Sus scrofa: one gene and its partners. The protein of the gene in region 2 binds, or shares a complex with, the protein of the main gene of each other region. Links are inferred from orthologs where the notes say so. Each region holds a gene or a part of one and is shown on either strand. Other genes may lie near its edges.

The links. The genes of interacting proteins can lie anywhere in the genome.
Region 1: the proteins of CENPA (region 2) and HJURP are in contact, whole or in part, in a crystal structure (PDB 3R45), measured with the Homo sapiens proteins. The link is inferred for Sus scrofa from reciprocal best matches to the Homo sapiens genes CENPA and HJURP. Residues at the interface, in NP_001800.1 of Homo sapiens: Lys64, Leu65, Ser68, Arg69, Arg72, Asp83, Phe84, Asn85, Trp86, Gln87, Ala88, Gln89, Leu91, Leu92, Ala93, Glu96, Ala97, Ala100, Phe101, His104, Glu107, Asp108, Leu111, Leu112, Leu114, His115, Ile132, Glu136; in NP_060880.3 of Homo sapiens: Glu14, Asp15, Leu18, Lys21, Leu22, Ser25, Arg26, Arg28, Phe29, Arg32, Met33, Leu36, Lys39, Tyr40, Pro43, Phe44, Thr47, Pro48, Val49, Val50, Gln51, Met52, Ala53, Thr54, Leu55, Ile65, Trp66, Gly67.
Region 3: CENPA (region 2) and CENPC share a complex: the UniProt entries of both Homo sapiens proteins name them as parts of the CENPA-NAC complex. The link is inferred for Sus scrofa from reciprocal best matches to the Homo sapiens genes CENPA and CENPC.

Annotation. Positions count from the first base shown.
Region 1 is NC_010457.5:134,120,313-134,124,504, reverse strand, and holds the start of HJURP (Holliday junction recognition protein), read left to right. Parts: upstream 1-1,341; 5' UTR 1,342-1,405; coding exon 1,406-1,501; intron 1,502-1,678; coding exon 1,679-1,745; intron 1,746-4,192. UniProt on the Homo sapiens protein: Centromeric protein that plays a central role in the incorporation and maintenance of histone H3-like variant CENPA at centromeres.
Region 2 is NC_010445.4:112,263,368-112,266,536, reverse strand, and holds the end of CENPA (histone H3-like centromeric protein A), read left to right. Parts: intron 1-376; coding exon 377-454; intron 455-878; coding exon 879-1,013; 3' UTR 1,014-2,625; downstream 2,626-3,169. UniProt on the Homo sapiens protein: Histone H3-like nucleosomal protein that is specifically found in centromeric nucleosomes. Replaces conventional H3 in the nucleosome core of centromeric chromatin that serves as an assembly site for the inner kinetochore.
Region 3 is NC_010450.4:65,312,938-65,317,254, reverse strand, and holds the start of CENPC (centromere protein C), read left to right. Parts: upstream 1-1,466; 5' UTR 1,467-1,760; coding exon 1,761-1,778; intron 1,779-4,317. UniProt on the Homo sapiens protein: Component of the CENPA-NAC (nucleosome-associated) complex, a complex that plays a central role in assembly of kinetochore proteins, mitotic progression and chromosome segregation.

The sequences.
Region 1 (4,192 bases), on a different chromosome or scaffold from region 2:
TCAGATTGTCCACTGACTGAAGTGGCCCAGCATTCAGTGATCTGGGCTGCCCTGGGGTTGCAGGACCTCGGGGGAGGGGCTCTCTACAACGGAGGCAATCTTTTATTTTTTTTCTTTTTACAGCCATAGGTGCAGCATATGCAAGTTCTCTGGCTGGGCTGCAGCTGCCAGCCTGAACCTAAATGCAGGCCTCACCCCATCAGCTGAGGCATATTTTGTGCCTCCACTAGTCAAGCAAGCCTGCTTCCTTTTTTTTTTTTTTTTTTTTTTTTTTTTTTTTGTCTTTTGTCCTTTTAGGGCCGCATCCGCCGCATATGGAGGTTCCCAGGCTAGGAGTCTAATCAGATCTATAGCCACCAGCCTACAGCAATCCCGAGCCACAGCAATCCAAGCCTACGCCACAGCCACGTGGGATCCGAGCCAGTGGGATTCGAGCCACGTCTGCGACCTACGCCACAGCCCACGGCAACACCGGATCCTTAACCCACTGAGCAAGGCCAGGGATTGAACCCGCAACCTCATGGTTCCTAGTTGGATTTGTTTCCGCTGCGCCAGGATGGGAATTCCCAAGTCTGCTTCCTTCTGATGGTCCTCTTGAGCAATTAACTTACAGTGGTTTCCCAAATTTCCCTGGATTTCCCTCTCTATGTGTGGTCTGTTATTGGGGCTTCTACAACTAACTATGGAGTATAACTATCCTACTCCATCCCTACGAATATTACAAAATTAATATCAATGGAGCAGAGTATGCAATATGTACGGAAAAGGTGCACCAGGTTAATAAAAAATACCACAGTGTATTTTCCTGAATCATGACGTTTACGCTATTTCTCCTTTCTAAATGCGTGTTCACTTTCATGCTCCTTTTTCTATTCTTTTCCATTGGCAAGTCCTTAGCGTCTTTCTGGGCCCCGGCTTTCTTAACTGAGCAAGGGGCCCAGAAGGGCGGGGAGAGGAAGCTGGCTCAGGGCGGGGCCAGACCCCACCTGTGGTAAGGGGCCACCCTCACCTGCCGCGAGTCCCAGAATAAGTCACCCGGACATCTCCGGTGCAAGACGGGGGACATCATACTCGTGTGGCACTGCTGAATAACAGGCACGCAAACGGCCGCAGGGGAGACCGCGTCACCCTTCTTCCAAAGCTTGGCAGCGCGCTCCCACCCCTCCTTTCCTCCCAGCGCGCGCGCTTCGGGCGGGGCGGGGCCAGAACCTCAACAACGGATTGGCCGAGAGAAAGGCGAGCGAACGTGTTTGAAAGGCCCAATCAGCGCCCGACCTTTCCAGTTTAGCCAATGGGAAACCTGAGGGGCGGGCCGGAAGGGCGGGAGTAGCTATTTGAACGGCAGCGCGGAGCCTGTCCCTTGCCCGGCTTACTGCAAGAGTTGGGTCCTGGGTAACGGCGCGCCATGGAGGGGGAGGTCTGCGGGGAGGACGAGCTCCTGCAGAAGCTCAGGGACAGCCGCCGCCGCTTTCAAAGGCGCATGCAGCAGCTGATAGAGAAGGTGCGGCCGTGGCGGGGCTAGGGGGTGGGTAGAGGAGGAGGGCGGGGGACGGGATGGGAGAAAGAGGCAGGGTTCAGGGCCCCCAGTTTTGCAGCCTCGCACTGCTGCCTTCTTAAGGAGAGTCAGGGGTTGCTCTCGGCCCTCCTATCTCACGAGATGCCCCTTCGTCTCCTACAGTACGACCAGCCCTTCGAGGACGGCCCGGTGGTGCAGATGTCCACGCTGACCTACGAGACGCCCCAAGGTACGAGTCAGGCCCCCTTTCTGAATATTTACGGTCCAGAGTGTAACTAGAATAATGTCTCACTAGAGTGTGAAATGCTGTCCCGTCTCTCTTGAAAATAAACTTTGTTCACCTAGTCGGTACTAAAACAAGTTCCCTTGAACCTATAAATTACTTAATTTACTTATTTCTAACAGAATTACTTATTAAAACAGAGTTCTGAAGACACCTAGATGCATCCTGGTTAAGAATGCCCCTGCCTAGGTTGGCATCCCAGCTGGCCACTTAATAGCCATTGCTTTAGCCAGGCTGTGACTGTTTCTTCATGAAAAGGTAATGACAGTCATGTCTACATGGCATGGATACTATGACAGTGACATGAGACGAAGCTCTTGGAACAGAGCCTGGCAATGGTAAACACTTGAATTGACTGTTATTTGACCTGTTTGACTTGAAGTTCTGAGCCCTTTGGAATTTGACCTAAATCCTGGAGGAGGGACCCATTCTGTTTGATGGCTGATGTGACAGCAGACTTAAATCTCATGGATTCTCTTTGGCAAACAGCTGGAGAAAGTCTGTGCTGAGCGAGGCCAGTTTCTGCTCTTCAGCCTTATTAGCGACTCACCTACTAATAAAAGTGACTCTCAGATGCTGAGACCTGGTTCTGCCATGCCCTGGACAGACAGGCACAAAACCGTAAATAAATGAAGTCCTAGCTCTGCTTTTTTTTTAGCTGACCCAGCTGTACCTTGGGTTAAAAGTTTATGCAGGCAGAAGCTAAGGTCTTCCACCGACAGGTCTCTGCTACTCTGGCCTGTGCCAGGTAGGAACAAATATAACCCAGGGCAGGACACAGGAGTGTGTCATAATCCTTCCTAACCATGCTGTCAGCAGGCTTCACTGTTCTCATGGCCTGTCTGTGCGAGGATGGGCGGTGTCTGGAATATTCTGGTCAAACCCCATATCTTGAACACCACTAGTTTCACCAGTGAAAACTCATCTCGGACTCCAGTTTGATGACAGCAGTAGTCAAAGCATCAGATACTTTAGCATGTGGAAAACCTCCTGGGAGATTATTGAAACAGATTCCTGGGGCCACGGGCCACGATGGCTGTGGACTCCACGTGGGTCTGTGTTCTAACACACTCCTAGCTGATGGGAGAGCAGCCCCCCAGACCTGTCAGTTCCCCTGGAGAGGTGCTCAGGGAGTGGCCTTTCTGATTAAATGCTCACTGACCACCTTTGCAGGGTGATTCCCAACTTAAGGCCACACCAGAGGGGGTAGATTGAAACTAAGGACCACACAGTTTAAGATGAAGACAGCAGGCCAATAATAGTCACTGATACATGTTGACAGCTAAGCGTGTGCCCACACGGCTAAGAGTCTCAGGTATCTCATTCTCAACAACCCTGCCAGGGAGCACAGTTGGCGGCGTCATCGTTTTTTCATAGCAGAGGATACAGTCAGAGAGGGGTCCCCAAACTTGCCCCGGGTCACTCAACCAATGTGGCAAAGCCTTTGTTCAAGCATCACTGTTCTGGAAAGGCTGCACAGCACAGTGGTCAGAAGCCCAGGGTTAAGTCCCCTGGGGTCACAGCCTTGGCTGCGCCTCGTGGGCAAGTGGCCTGGGCTGGTTACTTGACCTTCTCCTTTCCTCCTCTGTCTCCCGACAGTGAACTTGGTGAGTGCCTATCCCAGAGGCATTAGGAGTGCTGTGCTGTGTTGTGTGTGCGTTGTCGTGATGCTCAAGGAGGTGTCCTTGGACAGGGTGGGGACTAGAGCCTCGAACCCTGTAAGCACTTGTGGACATTTTTGCTGCTGTCATCATCCGCAACCATCTCAAGCCTCGCGACCCAGCGGTCCCTTCTTTGTTAACCTGAATTTACCTGGAAGCCCATGGAGGTTTAGGGAGAGACTGAGTATCTTGCCCAGATTCTGCTAGTGAGTCCGTGCAGGACTCCCAAACTCAGGGTTTACCCCATGCCTAGGGCTTGCTGTGTGTAGATTACCCTGAAAAATTACTTATTCTGAACTTGGGGTAAAGAGATTGCCTTCAAAAGGAGCTTTCTGATTGTTATGATCATTATACAACTACAGATGTGATAAATTCATTTGAGTAATAAAAAAATGGAAAAAAAAAAGAGCTTTCTTACTCTCTGAGGATATAATTGCCCTCAATATACGTATATTTTGAGGACAGTACTTGTCATACGGATGCTCCTTGTTTCCATTTATTTTGTGGCTCAGCACCAAATTCAACAAGCTTCCTGCTTGGTAGGAGAGGTTAATGACAGATTTTTTTGTTAACGACCAATTTTTGTCTAGTCTCGATTTAAAAAAGAAAAAGGGAGTTCCTGTCATGCCTCAGCGGAAACGAATCTGACTAGCATCCATGAGGACCCAGGTTCGATCCCTGGCCTCTCTCAGTGGGTTATGGATCCAGGGTTGCTGTGAGCTGTGGTGTAGG
Region 2 (3,169 bases):
TTTTTTTTATTACCCAATGAATTCATTACATTTATAGTTGTACGATGACATCACAATCCAGTTTTATAGAGACATTATGTCCTTTGATTATGCAAACCCGAACCCTCTCATCCAGCCACCCTTTCATCCCTTGCCCCGCCCTGGGACATGGTCTCCTCCGCTCCACCCCCCACAAGAAGAGACGTGCCATCTCCAGGCTCCCTGGACTTGACCCCAGCCACTAGTCAGGTCCTCGGACGAAGGGCCGGGGAGGAAAAGCGGAAACGGAGATTCCTGGAGACTCACGGAGAGAGGCTGTCCTCTCTTGAATCTCCCTTTCCTCTCTGCTCCTCCCCGCTCCCCTTCTCGCTTGCTCGCCATCCCCCGTCTTTCCCAGGCACGAGAAATATGTGTTCAGTTCACTCGTGGTGTGGATTTCAATTGGCAAGCCCAGGCCCTGCTGGCCCTACAAGAGGTGAGAAGGGGGCCCAGGTCCAGTTGGGTGAGGGGTGCATGTGGGAGAAAGGTAGCGCTGAATCTCACCTCCTTTATTTTTTATTTTATTTTATTTATGTATTATTTATTTATTTTGGCCCCGCTTGCAGCATGTGGAAGTTCCTAAGTCCCGGGCCAGGGATCGAACCCAAACCACAGCAGTGACCCAGGCTGCTGCAGTGACAACACCAGCTCCTTCACCCGCTGCGCCACAAAGGAACGCCTCACCTCCTAGCAAAGAGCAACAGGGAACACCCAGGGGGTTGAAGGGTGGATTCATGCTGGCTGGCGAACAGTCTCTCCCATGTCCTTTGAGCCCTTAGAGACTCAGTTAGCAGGTGCCCCCTGCCCGCCTCCATCCCCCTGGTCTGTGTCAGCCTTTCTACCTCTCTCTCTGTCCCCAGGCGGCAGAAGCGTTTCTCGTTCATCTCTTTGAGGACGCCTACCTCCTCTCCCTGCACGCCGGCCGCGTGACTCTCTTCCCCAAGGACATCCAGCTGGCCAGGAGGATCCGGGGCATTCAGGAAGGGCTCGGCTGAGCTCCCGCCGCCGGTGTCGCTGGAAGCCTCCCCTGCCCCCCCAGAGAATGAGTGCACTTGGGGGAAAACCACCCAGCCTCCCATCACCTCTGAAGGAATTTGCCTTCTCCATCCTTGGTCCTTTGCTGCCCCGCCTGCCCTTTGTTCTCTGGAAAAGATCCGACTAAGTTTTAACTTGAGTGCCTGGGATTCTTTTGAACAATGTTCTCCTTGACTTTATGACCAGACAACGTGCATCTCTGCCAGAGGAGTCCTCTCCACTTCACAAAGACCAGATGACCTCATTTGGATTAAAAGAAAGTTGTTTTTTTTTAATGCCTTGTTAATAAATGTGATTCCTGAATTTCAGAGATGATACCCAGGACTCTGCCCGTTGCAGGACCAGATCCGCGGAGGACGTGTGAGGTGCCGTCTGGACTTGCCGTCCCAGAGCTGTGTGCACGCATTGCTTTTGTAATTCGTTTTTTTTAAGGTGGAGAAGACCGTATGGCTTTCCTCTGTAACCGAGGTGATGTATGAGAGAATCAACACATTCCACAAGCCCTGAGAAAAATTTTTCAGATGAAGAGACTCCAAGGTTGATGTCACTTTGAAAATTATTCATGTGACTGTTGGATGCTTTTGAAGACATCAGGTGTTCTAGGTTATGGGAGAAAAGAATATTTATTGATTATTTTAGATCTTTCTGTACCATGTAATTTTTTTTTTTTTTAACCATATGTCTATTTACATTTATTTAAAACACAAGGGAAAAGTTAAAAGAAGACCACCTCAGGCAGTTGCATGGAAGAGCCTGACTCAGGTAGCATACAACTTTCTGTCCTTCAGATTGATTTCATCCTTAGTGGCAGCAGCCACTTCCTCTGTGCACTGTGCCTGTCACCAGATCGTAGCTTTTCAAAAAACTCAATGGGACGAAAATAGAAAATCGTTCAGGTTTGATGTCCTGGCTCCTTCTGGTAAATTCCTATCAAAATCATTCAGAAATTCGCACTCGTGGAATTTTATTCTCCTTTGAAAAATCAGAGAAGATGTATCATAGTTTATACGTTAGAATGTTTCATTCCAGGATTTTAAAGTGCCTTTGCGATGTTTTTACAGGTATTTTTTTATAAATTCTTTGTGGAGAGAGAATAATAATAAAAGCAATTTTTTAATGAGAAAAATTGAAGCGGTGCTACTGTTTTACAGCGATTGTACTGTGTTCTCTTGTGGTAGCGCTGACTTATTCGCCTGGACACTGTTTGCCAACGGCTGCAATTTAAACAAGAGAACTGGGGGCGGGGGTGCTTTTGGCCTCCACTGGCCCAGAGTATGAGCAGATTAAAAACCTGGCCTTTCTGTTGTGACTGAAAGCGGTTTAAGAGATTTCCAGGGACATGGAAGTACCAGCCAAGAAAGACTTTTAGATTTTTGTGGATTTTGCGTGTGGTAAAAATGATTCGTGAGGGGCAGATACCAGCAATCCAGCGATCATGTGTCATTCAACGAAAGGGAACCACTGGATTCTGTTGTTTGGTAAATTTTAACCCTTTGGAAAAACCTTTTCCCATTCAACCTCAACTCACTTCGATGTAGACATTTGAATAAAGCTTCTCTGTCTATGAATATATTTAATGTCAGAGGGTTATTAATCAGAAGATTATTCTCTTCCTCTAGTTTTCTTTCTTTCTTTCTCTCTTTTGTGCTGTTTAGGGTGGCTGGTATATGGAGGTTTCCGGGCTGGGGTCAAATCGGAGCTGCAGCTGCCGGCCACAGCCACAGCCACAACCACACCAGAAGTGAGCCACATCTGGGACCCACACAGCCCAAAGCAACTCTGGATCCTTAACCCACTGAGCAAGGCCAGGGATCAAACCACATTCTCATGGATCCTAGTCATATTTGTAACCCACTGAGCCACAACGGGAACCCCCTAGTTTTCTTTAAATTGACGCTTCTCTGTTTTCTTAAAATTGTATTAACCAGGACAGCCCTGCAGCACATGGTCACGTGTCACATTCAGATGCAGGCAGGATTTATGCTCTCAGCACCTCGAGTATCCGGTAACATGAGAATAAGTGATTCACAGGGTGACTGTGTTGTTTGCTGTTGCGGTTGACTAAACAGCACTCACGGTTGCTGATGATTTTGGAGTTTTACTTTCTTCTCTTTCT
Region 3 (4,317 bases), on a different chromosome or scaffold from region 2:
TTCTTTTTCTTGGATTAAACACCCAGGAGTGGAATTGCTCATATGGTAGTTCTATTTTTAATTTTTTGAGGGGTCTCCATACTGTTTTCCACAGTGGCTGCACCAAGATACATTCTCACCAATGGTGCACAAGGGCTCCCTTTTCTTCACATCTTTGCCAATTTTTTATTATTATCTTCTTGATAGTAGCCATTTTGACATGTGTGATTTCTCCATATTATTTCAATTTTCATTTCCCTGATGATTAGTGATGCTGAGCATCTTTTCATGTGCCTACTAGCCATCTATATGTTTTCTCTGGAAAAATGTCTATTCAGATCTTTCACTATTTTTTTTAATCTTTTTTTTTTTTTGATGTTGAGTTGTGTGAGTTCTTTGTATATTTTGGATATTTACCCCTTACTGAATATATTGCTTGCAAATCTCTTCTTCCATACAATAAGTGGCCTTTTCATTTGTTGATAATTTCCTTCGCTGTGCCAAAGCTTTTTTGCCTGATATAGTCCCACTTTTTATTTTTGCGTTTATTCCCTCACCTAAGGAGAAGGTAATGTATTTTTTGATTAAAATTCCCTTGCAAATTTTTATTAAATCATAAAAGTAGGACATAGTTTCACAGAATCATCAAACAGGTCAAGTCTTCAGAACATCTAACTTAACTCTCGCATCATGTAACTAATGAAACAGCCAGAACAGGGTCTGAGCTTGTCCTAGATGACATTGCTAATCCAGGTTTCAAGACTCTTGATTTAGGGTTCCTTTCAGGACATTATGCTTAAATGATAACACTTACATAGACCATTTTGTTGCCAATGCCTCACAAAAACATTACCCACATTTTTTTTTTTTTTTTTTTTTTTTTTGTCTTTTTGCTATTTCTTGGGCCGCTCCCGCGGCATATGGAGGTTCCCAGGCTACGGGTCTAATTGGAGCTGTGGTCTCCGGCCTACGCCAGAGCCACAGCAAGGAGAGATTCGAGCCGCATCTTCAACCTACACCACAGCTCACGGCAACGCCGGATCGTTAACCCACTGAGCAAGGGCAGGGACCGAACCCGCAACCTCATGGTTCCTAGTCGGAGTCGTTAACCACTGCGCCACGACGGGAACTCCTACCCACATATTTGAAAAAATATGTGATCCATCATCATTATACTATTGTTCGTTTCAGAGAAGATGCAAAATGAGCTGGGTGTGGCTGACGAGACTTAGTAGTAAACTACTTCTGCACGTTGGAGCAGGGGCAGGTGCGGGGAGAGAGAGAGAGAGAGACAGAGACAGAGAGAGACAGAGAGACAGAGAGAGAGAGACAGAGAGAGAGAGAGACAGAGACAGAGAGAGACAGAGAGAGACAGAGAGAGAGAGAGAGAGGAGAGAGAGAGAAGCTTGCCTACCGCGAGGATGGGGGCGGGGCTACGAGATGGGCGGGGCTGTTGGACGTAGGGAGGGCGGGGCTGCGAAAGCCGGACGCGCGAGTACAAGCGAGGGGGCGGGCCTCTAACGGCTTTCCTCCGGAGTCGAAGGGTCCGTTTTGCGCATGTGCAGTCCGTTTTAAATTGCGTAAGGCGCCGGGTGCGGCTGGGCGAGCTCCTGAGGCCGCGGCTTTTCGCCTTCCGTGTCTTCCGCCGCCTTTGGCTGTCCGGCGCTGCTGGGTTCCCGCCTGGCTCCTGCGCTGGTTACTCGGTCTTTGCTGGGCTGCCCTGAGCTGCGGCCGTGTGGACTTCCTCCCCAAAGCCCTGCGCGGGCGGAACCGGCCGCAACATGGCTGCGTGGGGGCTGGTAAGTGCAGGCCTCGGGCGTTCGCGCCGAGGCCGAGGAGCGCGAAGCCGCAGGCGGAGTTTAGGGCTCCGGGGGTACTGCAGTGGGAAAGACGCGGGAGCTCTTCAGAGGCCGAGTGACCGGTGGTATTGTTTCCGCAAGACTTCTTGTAATCCCAATGTGAGGGCCTCTTTCTTGGGAGAATCTTGTGATTGCTCCTTTTGAGCCTCATTCCATCTCTTAGACAGCCAAGAATTTTCTGTTCATGGAAGTATTGAACCGCCTCAAAAATGTGCCTTAGCTGCAGACTTGCTGGGCTAGAGAAGCAGGCGTCAGCTGTGGACAAAGTTTTCAGAGGGGCAGCCCTAGTTAAAAGTGCAGAAGCTTGTGAATGGCTGGAGGGGGGCGGGAACTCATTTTATCGTGTACGTGTTTCTGGACTCTCAGCTTCGCTTATGGTTGCTATACCTTATACAACCCGTATCAACCCCTATCCTAAACTTGTATTTTCTACTTGATCTCCCTTTTAAGAAAATCTTCAACACTGGTGAACTGACGTGTGTAATAAAGTTAGATACGTATGCTTGTGAGTATAAAGAGGTGTCCACAAAACATATTGCGGGCCATTTCCGTAAACAATGAATATTGCCCATCTTTAAGCTAGCAGCTAGTGCAGCAACCACCCCCCACCCCCTTGTGGCTCTGTGGTAACGAACCCGACTAGGATCCATGAGGATGCGGGTTCCATCCCTGGCCTAGCTCAGTGGGTTAAGGATCTAGGGATGCCGAGAGCTGTGGTGTAGGTCGCAGCGGGGCTCAGATCCAATGTTGCTGTGACTGCGGTGTAGGCCGGCAGCTGTGATTCAACCCTAACCTGGGAACTTTCATATGCGCGGGTGCGCCCCTAAAAGGCCAAAAAAAAAAAAAAAAAAAAAAAAAATTGAGAACGAGGAGTTAGAGATTATCCTCATTCATTCCTGTACTTTAAGGTTTCTAACTGGGTGTGATTTTGCCCTGTAGGAGACATTCGGTGATATCAGGAAAAATTTCTGGTTGTCCTGAGAGGGCTTGCCAGGGACATGTGATGGTGGAGGTTAGGGAGGCTCTCCCAACAGAGGCATCCAGCTCCTAATGTCAGGAGTGCTGGGGTTCAGAGACCCTGCTGGGTCGTATATTATTTTCTTTGAGAAACATAATCTCACAGTGAATGAAACTAAAATTGAAAATTGAGTGAAAAATAAGTTGTAATTGGCAGCTTTTGAGTGTGTACTGATTTTGAAAGTTAAAACATTTTGTGTCCTGACTTTTAGAATTAGGAGACCTCCTTTGTCTTGTTCACCACTTGTTTTCTAGTGTGCCTAAATAGCATTTGGCCCTGTGGTAGGTGCTTGATTCCTATTTGCCCAGTGAAAGAACTGTCTTACCCTTGAATTTTTTCTATTTAAAATTAAGAGGAATTTAATACTTTACAGGTGTTATTTAATGTTCAAAAACATCCAGTGTGCAAGTTTGATAACTCTTATTTTATTGTGTGACACTAGAAGAGTGACTTAAATTAGGCAAGGTAGTTAGCTAAATGTTCTCAGGAGTTTACTTAAGTATTTTATTTTAAATTGCTGAGTACTGATAAGAGACGTAAGTGCTTGAGTTGTTTCCATCAAATGACTTATGATAAAATGCAGACTTAGATGTCTTTGTTCCTTAGTTTGCTACCTGTAAAATAGATTTAATCTTTTGCTCCTTAGGCACCTTGCAAAGATAACAGGCTGTGAGAAACACTCTTAAAGACATTTCTATCTCATAATTTATGGTCGTATTTATTTGGCATGTCAATAAGATAAAAAAAAATGGTGTTTTTGTGATACAATGCACTAGGCAGGATTTGGGAAGAATTAAACTAGTTTAAGACAAAGTCTCTGCTCTCACATTTTCTTTCTTTCTCTCTCTCTCTCTCTCTCTCTCTCCTCCTTTCCTTTCCTTTCCTTTCCTTCGTCTTTTTGCCATTTCTAGGGCCGCTCCCATGACATATGGAGGTTCCCAGGCTAGGGGTCTAATCGGAGCCATAGCCGCGGGCCTATGCCAGAGCCACAGCAACTCGGGATCCGAGCCTCGCCTGGGACTTATACCATAGCTCACGGCAACGCTAGATCCTTAACCCACTGAGCAAGGGCAGGGATCGAACCTACAACCTCATGGTTCCTAGTCGGATTCATTAACCACTGAGTCACGGTGGGAACGCCTCACATTTCTTAAAATATAATAGAGGTCTTCATCTTCCTGAATAATTCAATCCAAAAACCATTAGAGGCCAGGGAAGGTAGCAGCCCCGATAGGGAAGCCTTAGTAGAGGCAGGAGTTTGGCTCAGCTCAGGATGTCAGAGGAGCTGAGTAAAGACAATGGAGTAAAGAGAGGTTTTCACATGGGATGGGGTCATTTATATCCCGTTGGGCCAAGTGAAGGTGAAGCTTACTAAACATTTGATATTGGTAATAATACATTTTTTTTTTTTTTTTTAATGGCTGCAACCGTGGCATATGAAAGTGCCCAGGCTGGGGATCT